Kluyveromyces lactis: one gene and its partners. The protein of the gene in region 1 binds, or shares a complex with, the protein of each later gene. Links are inferred from orthologs where the notes say so. Each region holds a gene or a part of one and is shown in the gene's direction. Other genes may lie near its edges. The genes, in order: PTI1, YTH1, PFS2, SWD2, CFT1, FIP1 and SSU72.

Region 1 (3,237 bases):
CGCTCAATTTTATTGTTTTTGGGACTAAATGGTTCCTCCTTGGCTTTGCAAAAGTGACTTCAATCAATGCAGTATGATCCGGCCATGGGGAACCATCATCTTCTGCTTCCATATTCGTGACATCAAGAATCTTTGCGTAAGGAATAACCGTATTTGAAGGTAGCAGCAGAGCTTCATTCTCATCTTTAGATTCCGTGTCGCTGAGACAAGTAACACAACTGATTAACGAAGCTGTTTCAAAAACACTAGATTGGAAGCTCCCAGAAGCATCGCCGTCTTCGTCATCCTCGTCATCGCCGAAATCACCTCCATTACTTCTGCGTGCCAAAAGCGTCGATGAGCTTGTTGAAGGACCGGACGTAAATTGATCTTTAATCAATAAACCATTTTCGCCAATGATGGCTCTTGTATAGGGCAAATGATACTTCCTGCTCAGCTTACTCATTATTCTTGCAGCCCTCTGTTTCCTTTTTCTCAGATGAAGGGAAATATCTGAATCAGACTCTGATCTCTGTTTGGACCACAACAGTTTTGGCAACTCAACAAGAATAATTAACTACCTCTTTTCCACCTTTACGTGAAAATAACGCAAAACAAAATCAAAAAAAAAGAGACTGATTCAAAATTGAGATACAGTCAAACAAGATCAATGACTATGTCTTCTGTTATTCTCTGATGAATCCTCTTATCAATACCTAGCTAATAAATCACAGGGGGTATGTTTTCGGGATGACGGATATATTACTGTTCCTTTCAGTTCAGTTCGATTTAATTTGATATATCTAACTTGAAAACGGAGAACACCAAATCGTTGTCATAAATATGATAAATGGAAACGTTTCTTGGAAATGATAATAAAGTATAGTACTATCCACCAGTTAAACTAGAATTCTCACAGACAAATTCTCTAAACAAATTTCCTAGGTTCACGATGCTTATATAAGAACCGATGCGCAATGCTTTTTTTATCAGACTGTCTTCTTGTCTAGATAACAAACCACGAGAGTAGATCCTTAGAACAATTTTCTTAAATAGTAGAGGCTTGATTAACAATACTCTGGCTGATATTGGATGTGGACAGAACAGTTTCTTATTCATCAATCATATCTTTACGTTTTAACTTCGAAGGCTTCCTGATTTTCGATTTCATGTAAATCTAAGAAATACAAAACAAAAGAAACATCAGTTGGCACGTGATATATAATCAATTATTACCCGGATATTGTTCTTATATGAATGTTAACTTAAAAAGATTCTAAGCATCGTTAAAGACTAACGGCCATACTAATGAATTAAGAAATCTGCTGTCGACTAGAAAGAATGAATATGTAATTATGTATGTTCGTAACGATTCATTGTGAGGCAAAATAATACTAGTTACTAGACACCAGTCAGATATTTGCGATAACAAGTTTGCAATTTAGAGAATACATATATATATCGAAACGGTGAAATACTCTTAAGTTGGTTTCTAACTAAACACAGTCAAAGTATGCATGACCCACAGAAGGATCCTCGTACTAGGAAAAGCAGGCATGAACTGACCCCGCACAATCTTTCATCTACCATACGTTTTACTGACATACCTGCTCAGTGGAACAAGGATAACTTCACATCTGTGATAACTGGTTCTGGATATATAGTTGACGTTAGAGAGAAATACGTGGATGAGGTCGAAGAAGCAGGAGAACGAGAAGGGGGAAAAGGAACTGGAGCTGGAGCTGGAGCTGGAAGTGAAAGAGGATGTCTTGAATGGGTAGATGTAGATTTCAGGGACTCTTCCTCCGCCAATAGGGCCCAAAATTCAATAAATAAGATAAACCATTTCCCATGTAGGATGTCCATGGTGATTCCCAAAGATTGGAAAGAAAAGTTAGAGAAAATAGACCAACTGAAACCGTTAGAGTTCACAAGAGACAATTTTCCCTGGGATTACAAATTAGAACTACCGTTTGAAATGGTAAGTGAGGTACCTTTACCAAGAAAGCCGTTGCCGGTGGTGCAACCAATAACAAGTGACGCAGGAAGCACACTATCCTCGGAGAATAACACTGCATCTACGAATGCTGCCTCGGATAACCTTGCCTCGAAGGCGAACGAGGCACCGGCACAGCAGATAGAGATCCCAGAGATCTTAGCACGGGCATCAAAGCATCTACCAGCATACCAACCGGGCTCGATGACTGCACCGGATGTGGTATCTCAAAATCTATCGAAGATTCCTACGTTACAAATGATCGAGATTCTATCAAACTTGAAGATCTTAGCCAACCAGCATAACAAGAAGCCACAACTGGAACAATTCTTGAAGACTAACATTGACTTAACGGTAGCTGTCACTCAGGCAATGCTAGAAATGGGGTTGATAAACTATCACGTGATATCAAATGTTCTAGGCCAAATGCAGGGCCAACATTCTGTTGGACCCACGCCTGCCGCAGCCGCGCCTACAGTACCAACTCTGCCGCCAGTTCAACTACCTGAGCCGTCTGTACCCCAGACGGCTCAAGGCATTAACAGCGGTGGTAACGGTACTGGTGGTGATATTACCACCACCGCTACAACCAACGCTGCCAACACCCCACAGCAGTTCAACGAGGCAAAACTTTCGCTACTGCCGCAAGATCAACAGAACATGATCAGAACTGCGCTTTCGATGCCCATAACGAACATAATGGCTCTTCCACCAGGCCAGCAACAACTAATACAGCAACTCAAAAACGACTACCTTCTATAGATAATAATAATAGCAATAACAAGAAAAATACATAGCACAATTCCTATCTCTTAGTCATCCATAATGGCTCGAAGGCTTTCTTTCTATCTATAGTGTATACCACCGTGTTTCCCAACCTAAAAGTTCCGCGCGCAAGTTTTCCTCTTTAACGACTTGGCTCATACAGGAAACTGAAAATGGAAAAAGCTGAAATAACCGACATTTCAAAACAGGAAGATGTCAAATGCATGCGGCGAAATGAAGGGAAACGAACGTCGAGGGAAATGTCTAAGGAAAGCGCAAAGGGAAAGAAATGCCGAAACGATTGGGCTACTATTCGAATGTTTTGGCGGTAGCTGCCGCCCTCCACAGCAACACGGAGCACTTTGTGTCAGGATCCTTTGGAGAGATTAGATAGATATTTGTTTATGTGCGTGTGTAAAAAGAAAAACTTGTCAAGTCCTCTCTTGCAGTAATCCGTTTCTGTTTTCAGTATGTTATATCAGGTATCATCAGTGCCG
Region 2 (2,604 bases), about 1.1 Mb from region 1:
CTTGAAACGAACAATGTCTTATACGAAAATTGCAACGCACTTTACATATCTAGTTTGAAAGAAAACAACAGACGTCAAAAAGAGAGGGAAATGAACTGGAAACAATTAGAGGATTACGTTTCGAAGTTGAAGATCGCAGAAAGTTGAAAAAAAGTGACCACTATCATCCTTACGGACTCACCATCACCAAATCATTATTATCGTCTTCATTATCATCATCATCACGGTAAAAGTTATGTATATACTTATATCTACGCGTCTTTTTCACCGAACATAGAATTGTTTCCGTATATATCAGTAAACGACAAATGATTTCCAACCCAAATAGGAGGCCTTAATTTACATATAAAATAGTAATAAAGGTACTACTTGACTGATAACTTGCCGCTTATCACTTTCTAACTGACAATTCTATATATTCTTTTTTATAATGACTGTCACCCAAATCCTATTCTTTTCAGCATGTTGGGTTTTGTATGATTCTTAAATTTCAACATCGGTTGAAAAAAAAGGGTCGCAGGCTCCATCGTCAGTATGGCTATATAAAGAAATATTGAGAAGTACGTGCAAATTGCTATTGAGTTAAGAAAACGACAATTCGTAGACAAAATCACTGTTTATAATTTAATCTTTCGATAACGAAGAAATTCGGTTAGAAATCAGTCTCATTTAGTTCAACTCAGAATTGTGTTTTATATCCTCGAGTGAAGACAGACCAATCGACATAATAGGTAAAGAATTAGGAAAGATGTTCAGAACAGCAGCAAGAAACCTTGGCGTGCCATTAAGAAGAAGTGTTTATGTTGGATTCAGCGGTAGTTTATTAGTCGGTGGTGGATCGTTGTTGCACTCGATGCAACCAAGCTCATATATCATGAACGATTCAATTGTTGATGTTAAGCAAAGAACGAATCTACCACAAGAGCTTGGATTGCCAAGCCGTGTTGATATAAGTTCGAAGCAAAGAAGAGTCAACTACAGACAAATGTGCTACGGGTCAATTTTAGGTCTAGTGTTCGGTGTTATCTTTGGTAAGATATCAAGTCTTCTCGTGTTCATCACCGGGGTTGGATTCGTTGGGTTACAATTCTTGCAGAACAGGGGAGTTATCAGCAGTGACAGCACTCGTTCTCTTTCCAAATACGTTGTGACCATCGGCCGTGAGAGGATTGATTTGAACACATTGATCTGGGACAAACCCAGCTTCAAAGTCTCATTCATCTTGACATTTGTGCTAGCTGCACTTAACGTCTGATTGGTTCCGAGAACGCTACCTTATTCAGTTCACGTGACTTTTTCTCATGTGAAAACCCAGAATATCCTATAACGTTATATTTAAGAATTAGTAAAATAATTATTGTGTGTAACTCGCTTGTAACATGATTAATTACCAATCATCAAAGACATTTTCATAAACGACTGGTAGGCTACATTAGACTGGGTTGTCAAGGAGATAAGGGAGTTTAAACTAATGAGTATAGTTCATCCAGATACCTCGAAGTACGAGTTTAATTTCGAGCCATTTCTACGGAAAGAATATTCGTTCTCGTTAGATCCAGATAGACCGGTATGCCAATACTATAATTCAAGAGAGGGGATAAAATCCTGTCCCAACGGAGCACGCTGTCCAAACAAGCATGTGCTACCGATATTTCAGAACAAGATTGTTTGTAAGCACTGGCTCCGAGGTCTCTGCAAGAAGAACGATCAATGTGAATATTTACACGAGTATAACCTAAGAAAGATGCCCGAGTGTGTATTCTTCACCAAGAACGGGTACTGTACACAATCACCGGAGTGTCAATACTTGCACGTAGATCACAAGAGTCAGTTAGAAGAATGTGAGGATTATAATATGGGGTTCTGTCCATCGGGACCTGCATGCACGAAGAAACATGTCAAAAAGGTACTTTGCCCCAGATACTTGGTAGGGTTTTGTCCACTGGGTAAAGATTGCGACTGGTCGCATCCCAAATTCAAAGTACCTTCAGAACACAGCAAACTGCGCATCAAGAAAGACGAGCATATTAATACAAGAAAGATGGATGAGGAAAGGGAAAGACGCTTGAATGCCATTATCAACGGTGACATCCTAGTCACGTGACTGAATTTTTTCAGTTTTCATCAGTGCGTTCGTTCTCAGCCACTGCTGCTGTCACTATTCACTATTCAGCTCACCATACGTAATTCGATACAGATACAGATACTAAGTAACATAATACTACACAATGTTACAGCCGGATAATTCTATCAACCGACAGCAAAAGCAACACACCTGAAAAATTAAGGGAACCAAGGCTCACATACCTTAAATTGCTTATCCAATAGGTATCAGACCTCTCAGCCAAAATCATTCGCTGAGTTTCATTTATGGACACGCGGTCGACATATTCCCCAGTATAGAACACTCCATTCCACAGTTTCTTTCGGTTTCTTTTTTTTCTTGCAATACTGATAAGCATTAACCCTGAGAGCGGACGCATGAATGTACACCAGGCAACAGCGTGAGTTCTTGAAGTCAGTTTTCTAATACACCTATAACTGGCACTAGCCAGCTACTGGGATGGCAGTCTCGCATCACAGCAAGGCTGTCGACCGGTACCT
Region 3 (3,307 bases), on another chromosome or scaffold:
TGCATAAAAAATGGGGGTCTCGAGGCGTAATGACAGCATCATGTATACTTGCTGCATTTACCTACTTGGTTCTTGCCCTAAAACCATATTCGCTCTATCTTTATGCGATATGCTTCTTTCCGCTAGGTATGTGTGTTGGGTTTGTTGACTCTACAGGTAATTTCTACTTTGGTAATTTAGAGACTAGAAAGAATGAATGGATGGGTTTGCTTCATGGAATATACGGGTTGGCCGCTGGTGTAACCCCACCATTAGTTACAACCTTCGATCATTATTTGGATTGGTCTTATATCTTTTGGGTCCCTTTGGTGTTTGCTCTTGTGGGGTTGGCACTCTGCATGGGGGCCTTTAAATACGAAACTGCTACCAAATACAGATACATCTGTGTAGGAGTCCCCGATGAATCAGGTGGTATTGAAAATGAGGAAGAGATAAAATGGTACCAGTTATCGAAGTATCCTCCGATGATTTTCTTGTATGCATTTTTCTTATTCTTGTACTTAGGTACAGAAATTGGTGTTGGGACATGGCTATTCACATATTTGTTGAATTATAAGAAAGGTGAGAAGTTCCTTATGTCATTTGTTACTGCGTCATTCTGGTCTGGGATCACTATCGGTAGATTAGGTCTTGGTTTTGTTACAAAAAGGTTCAAAAATGAATACAGGTCAAGCGTTTGGTACGGTTTGACTTGTTCATTGTTTTTTTTCCTATTCGTTATCATCAATCTAATCAATTCCACATCGACATTCTATTTCTTTGTTTTATCGTTGATGATCTTTGGCGCTGGTATCTTCATAGGTCCCTTGTTCCCTAACGCAAGTGTTGTTGCAATCCAAATCCTACCGAAACATCAACAAGTTAGTGGTATTGGTACAGCAATCGCTTTCGGAGGGTGTGGTGGTGCATTAATAACATACTCTTTTGGGTTTGCAAACAAGATTTTTGGGTTCCAATACTATCCATTTCTATGCTTCCTTGGTTCTTTGGCATTCAACATAGTTTGGATGCTCTACCCGAAAATTATCAAAGGACATAGAGAGTACTTATAAATTACTCAAGCTCAACAGATATGAATATCGTGCCGCGCATGGAAATTATTTACTTATATATAATAGGGGAATCGCTCCTACTTCTTAACGGACATATGTATTTTAAATCCATACTACAGAAGTAATTGAATCAGCTTCATTCTTATGCTTAAGGTCTGCTGCACGTGATCTATTTTTTTTTCTTTACTTGAAGCAACTTCAACATCGAGCTGGCATCAAAAACTACCGAAATCAGAATATTACTTGCATTTAATGATATTGAGAGGTAGGAAATGCATAAAACATGTATCAAAAGACACGGCCAACGTTTCACATTACGAAACTTAGGTGAACTACTATTCATACTGTTCTCAGAAATTTCAACACAGCCTGGTCTCAGCTTGAAAAAGACATAGCATGGATCCTAATACCGAGGGCACCACAACTAAAAAGTATACATCGCAAAGACGAACAATTGACATTTCTGCATCTTATGATAGACTATATTTCTTGAAGAAGCATGGCCAGGAGAATTCGTCATATATAGAGGCAGAAACCTCATATAATGCTCATATACTACCGCCAGATGCCTATGGTTTTCATGGGCATGCCATCAATACAGCAACCAAATTTACGCATCTTTCATCAAATAAGGTAAAGCACGTTATTCCGGCTCTTACGTGGACGCCAGAAGGAAGAAGGTTAGTGGTAGCTACATACAATGGAGAGTTTTCATTATGGAGTGGATCCAGTTTCAATTTCGAAAGTATTATGCAGGCTCATGATAGTGCAGTAACCGTGATGACATACTCACATACAGGGGATTGGATGGTTAGTGGTAGCGCTGATGGGGAGCTTAAGATCTGGCAACCAAACTTTAATATGGTTAAAGTCATGGACCAAGCACATATGGAATGTGTAAGGGAAATATCGTTTAGTCCGACCGACCAGAAGTTTGTCAGTTGTTCTGATGATAATGTGTTGAAAATATGGAACTTTAGCAACGGACAACAAGAAAGGGTGCTATCAGGCCATCATTGGGACGTCAAATCATGCGACTGGCATCCGAAGATGGGTTTAATCGTATCAGGATCCAAAGACAATCTTATCAAATTCTGGGATCCGCGTAGTGGTAGCTGCGTATCCACCATGCTTGGTTTTAAACATACTATCATCTCGACGAAATTCCAACCCAAACAGGGAAACTTACTATCTGTAATTTCGAAGGATAAAACATGCAAGGTATATGATATACGACAACAGGCTAAAGAGCTTTTCAGTGTTCGTGATGATGTCGACTACATGACATTACAGTGGCATCCAATCGATGAAACAGTGTTTACCGTTGGATGCTATGATGGATCTATAAAACATTTCGATCTATCCCAGGAAAATCAGCCAAACAAACCTACACACAACATTCCATATGCACATGAAAAATGTGTTACATCATTAGCATATAGTCCAATTGGTCACATCATGGCTAGCGCCTCGAAAGATAGGACTATTCGATTCTGGACGAGATCGAGAGCAGTCGATCCAAACGCCTTTGATGATCCAACATATAACAATGAAAAAGTTAATGCTTGGTACTTCGGTATCAATAATAACATTAATGCTGTCAGAAACAAAACAGAACACGGTGTTGCTTTGCCACCAAGTGAAGACTCCAATAATAATGAAAATGGCGACGGTTCCAGATCAGTTGAACCTGAGCGACCATCTGTCAGTACTTTACCAGGTTTGGGATCAGGATTACCAGGCCTAAGTTTTTAAGACAATTGAAAGTCATGGAAATTATAGCATCAATATTATTTAAGCAGATTAAATGTAAATCTACCTTTTCTTCATCATTAATAAGTAGACTGTATCGATTGAATAAACTAAAATAGAGGTTAACGAGTAAAATACTATACTAAATAGGTAAAAAAAGAATCAGTAGTTGTTGAATATATAAAAGTGTTAAAAAGAACCGAGAAATAAAAACAAAAAAGTGTTAGGAGGTCGTTACAATTCCAGTCGCTTAATCAACTGGCGGTCAAAAGGTCATTAAATTTATAAGATATCATTTCGTCATTAATATTTTTTTTATAATTGGTGTATCAATTGGCAAGGAGCACTGGCATTCAAACTCTAATAAATATAGCCAAATCATATGGTATAAGAGATTACAACGTTTGTAGATAAGTATCATTGATACTTTCGTGCAACGTCATTATATTGGATTTTCGGACATTTTCATCTATGGCATCAGATCTATCACGGGAAGAGGATGG
Region 4 (2,843 bases), on another chromosome or scaffold:
CTTGTTCTGTTTACTTCCCTTCTCCTTTTCGATCTCTTTTAGGGTTTTATCAATGCCAATAGGTCGCAAACTTGAGTAGCCAAGAGATCTTATCAGCAATAGTGTCGATTTATCTAGAATGTTAATGGTATTGGAATCAGACACATCTCCGTCATTATTGGCAATTAAAGGTTTCTCACTATGGCAAGTATACGCCGCAAGAGGAATCAATCTCTTCCCAGGCTTGATCCGTCTCTTGGTATCTTTATCAATGTTCCAACTCACCGGTTTCCCTTTTCTGCTTGTCTTGCTTTGCAGAAGCTCTTTTCGTAGATTGTTTATCAAAGGAATGTTATTGAAATCGGATGGTGCAGAAGGTTGTCTGAAGGCATCAAGGCCATACATAAACTCTCCAAGCCCCATATCTTACTTGTAAAGCCTACTGTCTCCAAAAATATTTTGTGAACAGCCTCTTAATGTCTGTTATTGCCATTGACACAGTGGTGTTTAACAGGACACAAGTAAATCATGATTTAAAGGTTTTATTTTAAAAGAAATAGAAAAAGCATCAACAAAAATAAGGAGAGCTGTACTACTCACCAATTACCAGTAGTTAAACGCCGGCGTCTTGATGGCATTCACTCCAGTTATCTTATATTTGATATGAATTGATAGAAGACACTAAAAAGAACTGAATATTATATATTAGTATGTATGTTTGAATAAACGTTATTGGTGTAACTACAGGTTACGCTTTCTTTCCATATGATCCAAGAACTTGTCAAAAGGAGTCTGTTTCCTAAAATAAGCACTTCTTTCAGCCATGTTAGCCAACTTATCGAATAAGTATTCTCCCCAGTCAAGATACCGTTTAATATAATTCTTCAAGTCAGACATTTCATAAGCGACAACATAATTGTTACTTCTACGCAATCCAGCCAATACCATAGACAACAACGCTAAGTCAATACTGTAATGAACTATATCTTTAACCTGATTGGAATTTGATAAATGCAGTTAAGATTACCTTTTAGTTAGTAAATCAAAGTCCGTTGATGAAAACGGTGGTGTATCTAACCACCTTCTTCAAAAAAATGAACGGTACGTACACCCATGATTCTTATTACAAATCTCAAATATGTCAGTTCTTTATAAAGCCAGAGTAAGACCAGAAAGGCTCTATTTCTCTACCTGCAAGTGACTAACACTATTGATTTCTTTGACAGATGTCATTACAATTTCGAGGAACATTTAAATTTAAATAAAACTGTTAACACCATCAAGAAATATTACCAATTTGGAGACAAAAAGAGAAGCTCAACGGGACACCAGCGGTTTAGCAACAGTTCTGTGATTATCTAAAAGTTAGCTGAGAAAGGAAATATGACTGTTAGCATTTCCAAGAGCAATCTTCTACGATTTGAGCCTGTGAAGTCCTTCAGAGTTTCTGATAAAGAATTGGGACCTATAACTTCAGTGACATTTGATGACCATGGCCAGTACTTGTTGACTGCAACTGCTAGTGATAATATGCATCTATATGATGCAGTAAGTTGCAGGTTTTTGAATACCATCGCTTCTAAAAAATACGGATGTCATTCCGCAAAGTTTACACATGCGCAATCAGAATGTATCTATTCATCCACTATGAAATCGTTTGACATAAGGCATTTGAATCTTGAAACAAACACATACCTTAGATATTTCCAGGGCCATGGTGCTCTAGTGAGCGATATACAAATGTCCCCGTTGGATGATACTTTTTTGTCTGCATCGTATGACGAATCGGTAAGACTTTGGGATTTGAGAAGCTCCAAGGCACAGGCCCTTATACCAAGTTTAGTCCCCACATGCATTGCTTACGATCCAAGCGGGCTTGTGTTCGCCATTGGTAACCCTGAGAACCATGAAGTCGGTTTATATAACGTAAAACATTTGAAGGCGGGCCCATTTTTAGTTATAAATGTGGATCCAAGCTTTGATCAGTGGAATAAATTGGAGTTTTCAAACGATGGTAAATATTTGTTGCTTGCGTCGTCCGCTGGAAAACATTTGATCATGGATTCCTTCGATGGTACACAGTTATTTGAATTATCAGGAACTAAACCTTTCCCATTGAGAGAGTTCATGGATTCTGGATCCGCAACGTTCACTCCAGATGGACGCATTACATTGGGAACTGATTACACTGGGAAGATCGCGATATGGAACCACGCAGACTTCATCAGTGGTAGGACGCTCAAACCTCAAGGATTTATTAACGCCGCACCAAATACATGTCCCAGAACTATTGCATTCAATCCTAAATATAGCATGTTTGTCACTGCAGATGAAACTGTAGATTTCTACGTATATAACGAATGAATTATACTGGGATCTGGATATATGACTTCGAAGCCAGACTCTACCCAGAGCACCCATCTATTTAGGAATGGCACTCGACATCTCGATAACATTTCCATGTTACCGATGACACAAAGCTGCCTTTTAGGTCTGGTCATCGCGACATTTAATCTTCTTTCATCTTTCAAGAACCCAACCTCGAAATTCTCGTTACTTCTTACTAAAGATAGGATGATGCACTCCTTTTCTCTACCTTGAAATCCGTCTACGGTAGATATCTCAATTGCTTGATGCTTTTCATGGATGAGTTTTTTCAACAGCGATACTTGTGAATTATACGGGGAGATCACACCAATACTTTCTTCCGTAACACCAGCCTTTATCAACTGCTCAACGTGGTATAATGCCAAATATGCTTCATTTTCGTTGTATTTTGAAGAGACTAGGTGGAACTTATCGTCTGCATCGTTGTCATTTTCATCAGACCTTTCTGGAAAGTCGTCTCCCTCAGTATCTAACCA
Region 5 (4,176 bases), on another chromosome or scaffold:
TTCATGGAAGCTCCCTTGGACTTCAATAACGCCTGCAGGTAACAAACCAGCTTTGTTTTTCCTCGTTAACGCTTCGTATGCACCAATGTCTATAATTACAGCGCCTTGACTGACGAGTCCATGAAGCATCCAGAATTGTCTGTTCTTCAAGTGATGATGATTACTATTGGCAATAAACCTAGTATGAAGAGGAACATGATTATTAACTAAACTTTGCATCTCAGTGAGTTGTAGGTCAGCCAAATCTTGTGTAAGTTCATTCACGCCATCGTCCCTTTCCTGCATGTAGAGAACAATTTTGGAAATGTTTTCTGGAGTGTCGCTCTTCATAATGATGGTATGGACACCAGCATTGGTTGCTAATTCTGCCGCAATAAGCTTAGTCTTCATACCACCAGTTCCAACATCTGATCCAGATCCACCGTCTGTGTTCACACCTGGCAATCCTTGTGATATATCTGGAACAACCAAGATAGGTTTTGCATCGGGATTTGCTCTTGGATTATCAGTGTATAAACAGTCAACATCTGTCAATAAAAATAGATAATCAGCACCAGTCAACGCTGCTGTGATAGCTGATAATGTATCATTATCACCAAATTTGATTTCGCTCACAGATAAAGTGTCATTCTCATTAACGATTGGCACTACTCCCATGGAAAGTAATTCACTAATAGTATTCTGTGCATTCTTATACTGAGTCCAATCAACAATGTCATTTCGAGTAATTAGGATTTGAGCAATTCTCTGATCAAATTCAGAGAACAAGGAATCCCACCTCCCAATTAATCTGCCTTGGCCCACAGCTGCGATTGCTTGCACCTTGGATAGTTTCTTTGGCCTTCCCTTCATATTCATCGTTTTCAATCCGACGGCGATACCTCCACTAGATACAATGATAACTTTGTGTCCTCTTCTGCGTAACTTTACCACAGTCTCCACAATCAATGACATGATAGAAAGTTTTGGTTCTTTGGTCTCTTCATCAACTAGTGATGAAGATCCCAATTTTATGACTATGACGAACTGCTTTACCATCTGAACTTGTTGGAAAACGTTCTTCTTCTCGCGGTCCGTAGAAACCTTTGGTTACAGAAATTTCAGGCCAGATTGACTAATAGCTGCTGCTCACAGACAGTACACTATGTTTATATCTGTTTTGCAGATGCAGTTATTCATCTTTTCAAATGGTCTGCAGATGTCATCGAAACATTTACTTTCAGTTTCTGTGAATTTTTAAATATTCACCGGTTCTTCAAAATATAGGTAACTATCATTACTAAGAACACTGGAAACAGACGAGCGTAGGTGGGCATACTAGCACTCTTCAGTCACACCTGAATCTGAAACGTTTAAATATCGGGGATAGATAATAAATGAACGTTTTTGACGAGATATTGCAACCCACTGTGGTTAATAAATGCTTACATGGGAATTTTACGTCAGCGGAAAGGGAAGAATACGTTGTTGCAAGAACCAATGTTCTCTCTGTATTCAGGGTCTCGCGAGCACAAAAGCTTGTACTTGCATATGAATGGAAACTAGCAGGTAAAATCATAGATATGCAATTACTGCCCCAAATTGGATCGCCTCTTAAGATGCTTGCAATACTTTCGTCGAAATCCAAAGTATCGTTGGTAAGGTTTGACCCAGTGGCAGAGAGTCTTGAAACACTAAGTCTGCATTATTATCACGACAAATTTGTCAATTTAAGCACTTCTTCTTTGAAGACGGAGTCCATTATGGCAGTGGATCCATTGTTTAGATGTCTTCTGGTTTTTAATGAAGATGTTTTAGCTATATTGCCATTGAAACTGAACACAGAAGATATGGAAATTGATGAGGATGAGAACGGAATAAAAGAGCCAATGGCTAAACGCTTAAAAAGGAACCAAGGAATCACATCCGATAGTATAATAATGCCAATTTCTAGCCTTCACAAGAGTCTCAAGCATGTCTATGATATAAAATGGTTAAATAATTTCAGCAAGCCAACTGTGGGAATATTATATCAACCGGTACTTGCGTGGTGTGGAAATGAAAAAGTACTTGGAAATACTATGAGGTACATGGTTTTGAGTTTAGATGTCGAAGATGAAAAAACCACCGTGATTGCTGAGCTTGCAGATCTTCCGAACGACCTGCACACCTTGGTTCCACTGAAGAGGGGATATGTGTTGATTGGTGTCAATGAATTATTATATATCAGTGCATCTGGTGCACTACAATCGTGCATACGATTGAACACATTTGCAACGTCTTCAATCAATACAAGGATAACTGATAATTCTGACATGAATATCTTTCTATCAAAGAGTTCAATATATTTCTATAAAGCTTTGAAAAGACATGATTTGCTTATTTTGATAGATGAAAACTGCAGGATGTACAACATTATTACAGAATCAGAGGGTAATCTACTTACCAAATTTGACTGTGTACAAGTACCGATTGTTAACGAGATCTTCAAAAATTCAAGATTGCCGTTGTCGGTATGTGGTGATCTCAACTTAGAAACTGGCAGAGTTCTTATAGGTTTTCTCTCAGGTGATGCAATGTTTCTGCAACTTAAAAACTTGAAAGTGGCATTTGCAGCAAAACGACAACTTGTTGAAACTGTTGATGACGATGACGATGAATACAGTGCACTTTATGGAGAGTCTCAAAATAATACTCACACCAGAATCGTCGAAACACAAGAGCCTTTCGATATATCATTGTTGGACTCCATTTTCAATATCGGTCCTCTAACATCTCTTACTATTGGTAAGGTCGCATCTGTTGAACCAACTATTCAGAGACTTCCCAATCCTAACAAAGATGAATTCTCAATTGTAGCTACATCTGGAGTTGGGAGGGGATCTCACCTCACTGCATTGCATTCCACTGTCCAGCCCCACATAGAACAAGCCTTAAAATTCACAAGTGCGACCCGTATCTGGAATTTGAAAATAAAGGGAAAAGACAAGTATCTTGTGACTACAGACGCTGATAAAGAGAAAAGTGATGTATATCAGATTGATAGAAATTTTGAACCTTTTAGGGCGCAAGATTTTAGAAAAGACAGCAGAACCATCGGCATGGAAACTATGGACGACGATAAACGTATTTTACAGGTAACTTCAGGAGGATTATATCTATTTGATGTTGACTTTAAGAGGTTAGCAAGATTAACTATTGATATCGAAATTGTTCATGCGTGTATTATTGATCCATATATTCTATTCACGGATGCTAGAGGTAACATCAAAATTTATCAACTAGACTCTAAAAATAAAAAAAAATTCATCAAATTTAAGCTTCCAGAGGCTCTCAATGAAATTATCATCACATCTGGTTCCATTTTCAAGAGTAACATTTGCAACAAATTCCTACATGGATTGGAAAACTCTTCACAAGAACAGCTTCTCTTCACATTTGTAACGGGCGACAATCAGGTTATTTTCTTTACCGAAAAGCACAATGACAGGATATTTCAGTTAAATGGTGTCGATCAGCTAGAAGACATGCTTTTTATAAGTACGTATCAGATTCCTGAAGAAATGAACCCGGACCCATCAATAAAGCAAATCATGTTAAACAGATTGGGCCATCATAAGAAAGAAGAATTTCTAACTATTCTTACGTTTGGTGGGGAGATCTATCAGTACAAGAAGTCGACAAAGCACAGCGGTAAACTCTTAAAATGTAAATCCCATCCTCTAATTACCGGTGCTCCTAACAATGCATACCCTCAAGGAGTTAATAAAATAGAAAGGGTTGCTCATTACTTCCCTAACTACAATGGATATTCAGTAGTATTTATTACTGGTCAAGTACCATATATCATAATCAAAGAAGATAATTCGGTATGTCGGATATTCCGGATGACTAATATACCTATTGTCACAATGGCTAGGTGGGGTAAAAACTCTGTGATGTGCGTAGATAATATTAAAAATGCAAGAGTAATGAAATTAGATCCTGAATGTTATTATGGGAATACTCAGATTCTTAGAAAAATCATTATTGAAGATGTTGTTGAGGAATTTGAAACTTTAGGAAATATTGCGTACCATGAACGGACCGGAATGTATATCATCTCCTATACCAAATTCATCGAATATCAAGCTCTAAGTGAAGATGGTGAGCCCCTTGTAGGTTACGATCCAAGCAAACCAAATAGTACTGGGTATA
Region 6 (2,626 bases), on another chromosome or scaffold:
CACCTTCACTGGCTGACACAAGACACAGTTCTGTTTTCTCTTCTACAAGAAGTATCAACGTGTTACTGGAAGAAGACGAGCAAGATTTGGACAATGACTTGCAGTGCATGGCTCCAGTGAAGAAAAAACAGCAACGTGCATTGGTGGCACCCATCATGTTCTCCTCTTCATCTTCAAAGAAAGATTCGGTCGTTTCGGAAAAGGATCAGTTTGTTTACACGCTAACTAACAAGTTACTACCTTATTTTGGGTATTTCTTGGCTGATTCTAACGATTTGGATTATTTCGATAAGATTAGATTCCAAGAAATTGATTACAAGTTCTCCAAGACGTATTTTTGATGGAACAATCCTCATCCTTTTATCCAGATATTATTTTTCCCCCTTTGCTATAGACTGCCTGTATGATACACCTGCATATTTTTTTCCTTCTTCATCATATTTCTTACATTCATTCCTTTCTAATTCTCTACTTCATTTCAAATTACCTTCCATTTTTTTTTTTACTTTGTTTCTGTGGGTGCGGACACAAGGTGACCATGTTTAGTCAACCTTACAGGTCCCATAAACACTTCAAAAAAGAACATTCACTTCTCAATTGCAGTTTACAATCGACTTTTTTGAACATTCATTCTCAACAATGTCTGACTCTTTTCAACACATTAAAGACACTCACTCGCCTGTAATGTTTGTTTCCTCTGTTGTTTTCTGTCAATTTTTTTAATTAATTCACACTTTTACTCTGAAAAAACAGGACAAAGTATTATGCTTCGTCAATAAGATGCACTTTTTTCTTTGGTTTCCCTTGTTACTTTTCCATATCTTTAATTCTTACCATCGCATATTCTTTCAAGTTCGTTAACATCGGAAATCGATACTGTCCGCAACATGCACATCTAATTCTTCTGTAAATCATGTATTCTCATTAGCTACACATTTAACCCATATTATACATTCCGTCCAAACAAGCTGAGTCGCTGTCCGCTGTCCGGTGACAGATATTCATTAGAAATGTTTGTCATTGAATACGACAATAATTTACCCGGATATGCGTCGATTTAACAGCATCATTTTGGTAAATCTTAGCATTGAGAGTTAACTATTAGTTGATTTCTATATGAGAAGAAGAACTATCTTCCTGTTAAGATACCTTTTGGGTTGCGCAGCCTTCCAAACTTTCCAAGCATTTATTGATAAATCTTCTACCAGTCCACGAACGACATATAGAAACGAATCGTTATGAGCAGTGAGGATGAAGACGATAAGTTTCTATACAGCGATGAGGAGGATTCTAACGTAGTCGCAAAGCAAGAGGGTCCTGCATTGAAAAGACAAAAGGTCGAAGAAACACCCAAGATACTAGCTCATGATGTACCGGAAGGTAATACGAATGAGGTAGAGAGTGAGGCCTCCAATCAGGATAGTTCATCAGATGAGGATGACAGCAGTGACTCAGATTCAGATGTTGAGATTATCATCGGAACTGGTAACGATACCTCTAAGATAGATTCTGGTAAGTCCCAGATATCTGCTATAACAGACACAACGCCTCTTGGTACAGCGGATCATGCTATTGCAGCAGTGGCTGGTATATCGGACGTGGTTCCTGTACAGGAGGGTTCAATACCACCTGAACAGCAGCAGCAGCAACAACAAACTATTGATTTGAACCCGGATGCACAATTCGATGGGAAACCTATAGTACAGATCGATCCAGAAATTCTAAAGGAGAAGCCCTGGAGACAACCAGGAGCGAATATTTCAGATTATTTCAATTATGGATTTAATGAACAGACTTGGATGGAATATTTACATAGACAAGAACATTTGACGAAAGAATACAACCCACAAAAGATTTTGATGAACCTCCTAGCTTTACAGCAGCAAGGAAAGTTAAATGATCCAGGTTCAGGACAACCTGTACAGAATACAATCCAACCTCCTCCTCCGCCTATGGGACTTCCCCCCATGTTTGGTGGTTTCCCAGGATTTCCATTTCCGGGTATGATGAATAACATGCAAAATCAAAATGTATCAAGCATGAACAACATGAACAACATGAACAACATGAACAACATGAACAACATTAACAACAACAACAATAATAATCTCAACGACAAGAAATGAAATTTAGTGCTTGAGGCTCGTATTGATTGCAAGCAACATTAATGATATATAGCGGACATGTACATGTATTTTCGATTCCTTGATGGAATTGTAACACAGCTTAGTTTTAAAGACCTCATGTTGACATTTGTTATAATTAGAGAAATGACATTAATATACTATACTTCAAAAAAAATGGCAAAGACAAACTATATATCTGAATACTATAACAGTTTAAAAAGTAATGTTGTATTGTTCGTTTTCAAAAACTCTTTTGATCCATGGTTGATGGAATTTATTCAGTTCAACAACGCTGGTCAAAATTTCAACCCATTGTTGTTTTAAAAGATTAGAATCAGCGTTAAAATTTATAACTTCATCATTTGCAAAAAGGAGTTTGAAGCAATCGCTGAAAAGTACCATATCAGTAAAGTTTCTCATTTGTTTTCCAGTTGCCGTTTTACCATCAGAGTATATATCTACTACGTTTAGAAGATTCAACAAAGTTTGTGGTTTTCTGG
Region 7 (2,472 bases), on another chromosome or scaffold:
AAATGCTTCAAGAATAGATGATAATGAGTTAAATCTGATCCGTTGGTTTCAAGACGATGTCAAATATCCTTTGTCGTTACACAACTTTGTCAAAGCAGAAGAGAAAATATCTGGAATGAAACCTGGGCAGTGGTTTGGGCCAAGCGCAACAGCCAGAAGCATAAAAACATTGATTGAAGGGTTTCCCCTTTGTGGAATTAAGAATTGTATAATTTCAACTCAGTCGGCAGATATATACGAAGATGAGGTCACAAGAATTTTTCATAAGGATAGGGATGCTAATTTACTTCTGCTGTTTGCTGTCAGGTTGGGTGTTGACAAAATCAACAGCTTATACTGGAAAGACATATTCAAGATTCTCTCATCACCATATTCTGTCGGGATCGCAGGCGGTAAACCCTCGTCATCATTATACTTTTTTGGATATCAAAATGAAAATCTTTTCTACCTTGATCCACACAACACTCAGCAATCTTCTTTAATGATGGATGATCTTGAATTTTACCGAAGTTGTCACGGACACAAATTCAACAAATTGCATATATCAGAAACAGATCCGTCAATGTTACTCGGTATGTTAATTTCAGGTAAGAATGAATGGGATCAGTTTCATACTTATTTCAGAGATAGTCAAATTATTCAATTTTTGACAACCAGGCCAGAAAATGATTTATATCAAAGTGCCAATATGTCTGTCGGTTCTGATTCTATTCACTCATTGGAGTCAGACATACAGGACACTGGAGAATACGTTGATGTTGGAACATTAGTTTCTGGCAAACAAATGTCCTCCCCGCAACCAAAAGATGAAGAATTTGAAGATGTTAAATGCAAAAGCCAGCGAATAATCGTCTGCGAAGATCCAGCTGATCCTGAAGTTGAACAAGTTCTTGTCGAGGATTCATCCTCCTGCTGACTGCTGTATCTTCCTCATTCTTTGTTTAAGATATTATATTAAATATTAGTATCATTATATAATATGGATCCTTCGGCTGTCAAGCACCTAATTCAGCCACAAATAAGGACAGGCTTTGGTAATCGGGTGTAACGGAAGTGACCTTGAACTTATACTAATTACCAATCTATAATTCTATTAAGATTATTACAAGCGTCGCATTTCCGGGTAATATTATTATCTAGCTGCACATTGATAAAATTGACTTTGTTAAGAGCTTCAATGAAAGTTACAAGATATTCATAATTGGTAACCGAAATGGTAGACAGCCCATACTTGCATTTCATATTCAATTATTATAACTCTCATTTTCATACAGTGTTGTCTGCTTAGTGCTACCAGAATAGATAATTTGACTAAAAGTTATTACGAATCTAAGAGGAACTATTAGGCATGAGCGAATCAATGAGAAATAGCGGGCTTAAGTTCTGTACTGTGTGTGCATCTAACAACAACAGGTCCATGGAGTCCCATAGGGTATTGGAAGAGGCAGGGTATGATGTTTCTAGTTACGGTACTGGAAGTGCAGTTAGACTTCCAGGTCTCTCGATAGATAAACCAAATGTGTATTCATTTGGTACGCCTTATGATGATATATATAATGACTTGATTTCTCAAAGTGAAGATAGATACAAGCAAAATGGTGTATTAGAAATGTTAGATCGTAACAGGAAGTTAAAAAAAGCTCCTGAGAAATGGCACGATGGGAGAAAGGTTTTTGATTTCGTTTTTACCTGTGAAGAAAGGTGTTTCGACTCTGTGTGCGAGGACCTGATGAATAGAGGTGGTCAGCTTAATCTAATTGCACATATTATCAATATCGATATCAAAGATGATAATGAAAACGCTAAAATTGGTGGGCGAGCAATATTAAGATTGGCAGATATGCTAAGAGATAAAGTTTTTGAATGTGAGAAAAACGGAACTCAATTTGAGGATTTTATAATGGATGTCTTCACTGAATGGCAAGAGAAATATCCAAAACTACCACTAACTTATTCTGCTGCATATTATTAGTTCTATTTCATCTTGAGTTATATATCATGCTATTCTTGTTTTGCATACTTATTTCGATGGAATTGTAAGCTAACGATTAGTTAAAGATTTTGATGGCACAATTTTCCACGGACCCAAACACTTTTAACATTCCTATCATCACCATTAAATAACCATTTTGCCACAATATTCTCCAGTTTGATTCTATCCTTCCCGTTCGGTTGAATTTTGTCGTTGGTAACTTTTTGCCATGGAAAAATGGATACGTTGCTTCCTTTGGTGGATAAATCTATCAATTGTGCGTCAAACTCTTTCCCTACGTCGAAACTACCAATTTTATCAGACAGATTTAAAACTTTAGCACCACCCATGGTAGCTAGATACAATACTTCGGCGACAGATAGTTTGCATTCCTCTTTTCTTTCAGGATCTTCTACTGACATTGCTCGATGTCTGGAAACTAGTAAAGCTTGCCTAGCATTTTCCAAAATACTGACTGTAAAACCACCGGAAACATCAGA

Evidence for each region.
Region 2: PTI1 (region 1) and YTH1 share a complex: the UniProt entries of both Saccharomyces cerevisiae proteins name them as parts of the cleavage and polyadenylation factor (CPF) complex. The link is inferred for Kluyveromyces lactis from reciprocal best matches to the Saccharomyces cerevisiae genes PTI1 and YTH1.
Region 3: PTI1 (region 1) and PFS2 share a complex: the UniProt entries of both Saccharomyces cerevisiae proteins name them as parts of the cleavage and polyadenylation factor (CPF) complex. The link is inferred for Kluyveromyces lactis from reciprocal best matches to the Saccharomyces cerevisiae genes PTI1 and PFS2.
Region 4: PTI1 (region 1) and SWD2 share a complex: the UniProt entries of both Saccharomyces cerevisiae proteins name them as parts of the APT complex. The link is inferred for Kluyveromyces lactis from reciprocal best matches to the Saccharomyces cerevisiae genes PTI1 and SWD2.
Region 5: PTI1 (region 1) and CFT1 share a complex: the UniProt entries of both Saccharomyces cerevisiae proteins name them as parts of the cleavage and polyadenylation factor (CPF) complex. The link is inferred for Kluyveromyces lactis from reciprocal best matches to the Saccharomyces cerevisiae genes PTI1 and CFT1.
Region 6: PTI1 (region 1) and FIP1 share a complex: the UniProt entries of both Saccharomyces cerevisiae proteins name them as parts of the cleavage and polyadenylation factor (CPF) complex. The link is inferred for Kluyveromyces lactis from reciprocal best matches to the Saccharomyces cerevisiae genes PTI1 and FIP1.
Region 7: PTI1 (region 1) and SSU72 share a complex: the UniProt entries of both Saccharomyces cerevisiae proteins name them as parts of the APT complex. The link is inferred for Kluyveromyces lactis from reciprocal best matches to the Saccharomyces cerevisiae genes PTI1 and SSU72.

Annotation. Positions count from the first base shown.
Region 1 is NC_006042.1:1,903,985-1,907,221, forward strand, and holds PTI1 (cleavage polyadenylation factor subunit PTI1), read left to right. Parts: upstream 1-1,492; coding exon 1,493-2,737; downstream 2,738-3,237. Other genes in the region: KLLA0_F20504g (sphinganine kinase LCB4), read right to left, coding at 1-445. UniProt on the Saccharomyces cerevisiae protein: Component of the cleavage and polyadenylation factor (CPF) complex, which plays a key role in polyadenylation-dependent pre-mRNA 3'-end formation and cooperates with cleavage factors including the CFIA complex and NAB4/CFIB.
Region 2 is NC_006042.1:760,494-763,097, forward strand, and holds YTH1 (cleavage polyadenylation factor RNA-binding subunit YTH1), read left to right. Parts: upstream 1-1,471; coding exon 1,472-2,104; downstream 2,105-2,604. Other genes in the region: protein phosphatase 2A regulatory subunit RTS1, read left to right, coding at 1-147; FUN14 (Fun14p), read left to right, coding at 749-1,255. UniProt on the Saccharomyces cerevisiae protein: RNA-binding component of the cleavage and polyadenylation factor (CPF) complex, which plays a key role in polyadenylation-dependent pre-mRNA 3'-end formation and cooperates with cleavage factors including the CFIA complex and NAB4/CFIB.
Region 3 is NC_006041.1:644,318-647,624, forward strand, and holds PFS2 (cleavage polyadenylation factor subunit PFS2), read left to right. Parts: upstream 1-1,448; coding exon 1,449-2,807; downstream 2,808-3,307. Other genes in the region: BSC6 (Bsc6p), read left to right, coding at 1-1,052; PFK27 (6-phosphofructo-2-kinase), read right to left, coding at 3,200-3,307. UniProt on the Saccharomyces cerevisiae protein: Integral and essential component of the cleavage and polyadenylation factor (CPF) complex, which plays a key role in polyadenylation-dependent pre-mRNA 3'-end formation and cooperates with cleavage factors including the CFIA complex and NAB4/CFIB.
Region 4 is NC_006041.1:1,607,009-1,609,851, forward strand, and holds SWD2 (WD-repeat containing protein SWD2), read left to right. Parts: upstream 1-1,362; coding exon 1,363-2,343; downstream 2,344-2,843. Other genes in the region: MND2 (Mnd2p), read right to left, coding at 1-402; MCO12 (Mco12p), read right to left, coding at 721-972, 1,089-1,094; ATP-dependent 5'-3' DNA helicase HCS1, read right to left, coding at 2,325-2,843. UniProt on the Saccharomyces cerevisiae protein: The COMPASS (Set1C) complex specifically mono-, di- and trimethylates histone H3 to form H3K4me1/2/3, which subsequently plays a role in telomere length maintenance and transcription elongation regulation. Involved in mediating RNA polymerase II termination.
Region 5 is NC_006039.1:880,506-884,681, reverse strand, and holds the start of CFT1 (cleavage/polyadenylation factor CFT1), read left to right. Parts: upstream 1-1,376; coding exon 1,377-4,176. Other genes in the region: PRO1 (glutamate 5-kinase), read right to left, coding at 1-1,038. UniProt on the Saccharomyces cerevisiae protein: RNA-binding component of the cleavage and polyadenylation factor (CPF) complex, which plays a key role in polyadenylation-dependent pre-mRNA 3'-end formation and cooperates with cleavage factors including the CFIA complex and NAB4/CFIB.
Region 6 is NC_006041.1:534,517-537,142, forward strand, and holds FIP1 (cleavage polyadenylation factor subunit FIP1), read left to right. Parts: upstream 1-1,238; coding exon 1,239-2,126; downstream 2,127-2,626. Other genes in the region: transcription factor IME1, read left to right, coding at 1-341; BUD4 (Bud4p), read right to left, coding at 2,340-2,626. UniProt on the Saccharomyces cerevisiae protein: Polymerase-regulating component of the cleavage and polyadenylation factor (CPF) complex, which plays a key role in polyadenylation-dependent pre-mRNA 3'-end formation and cooperates with cleavage factors including the CFIA complex and NAB4/CFIB.
Region 7 is NC_006040.1:1,644,774-1,647,245, reverse strand, and holds SSU72 (RNA polymerase II subunit A C-terminal domain phosphatase), read left to right. Parts: upstream 1-1,348; coding exon 1,349-1,972; downstream 1,973-2,472. Other genes in the region: cysteine protease ATG4, read left to right, coding at 1-916; GUD1 (guanine deaminase), read right to left, coding at 2,053-2,472. UniProt on the Saccharomyces cerevisiae protein: Component of the cleavage and polyadenylation factor (CPF) complex, which plays a key role in polyadenylation-dependent pre-mRNA 3'-end formation and cooperates with cleavage factors including the CFIA complex and NAB4/CFIB.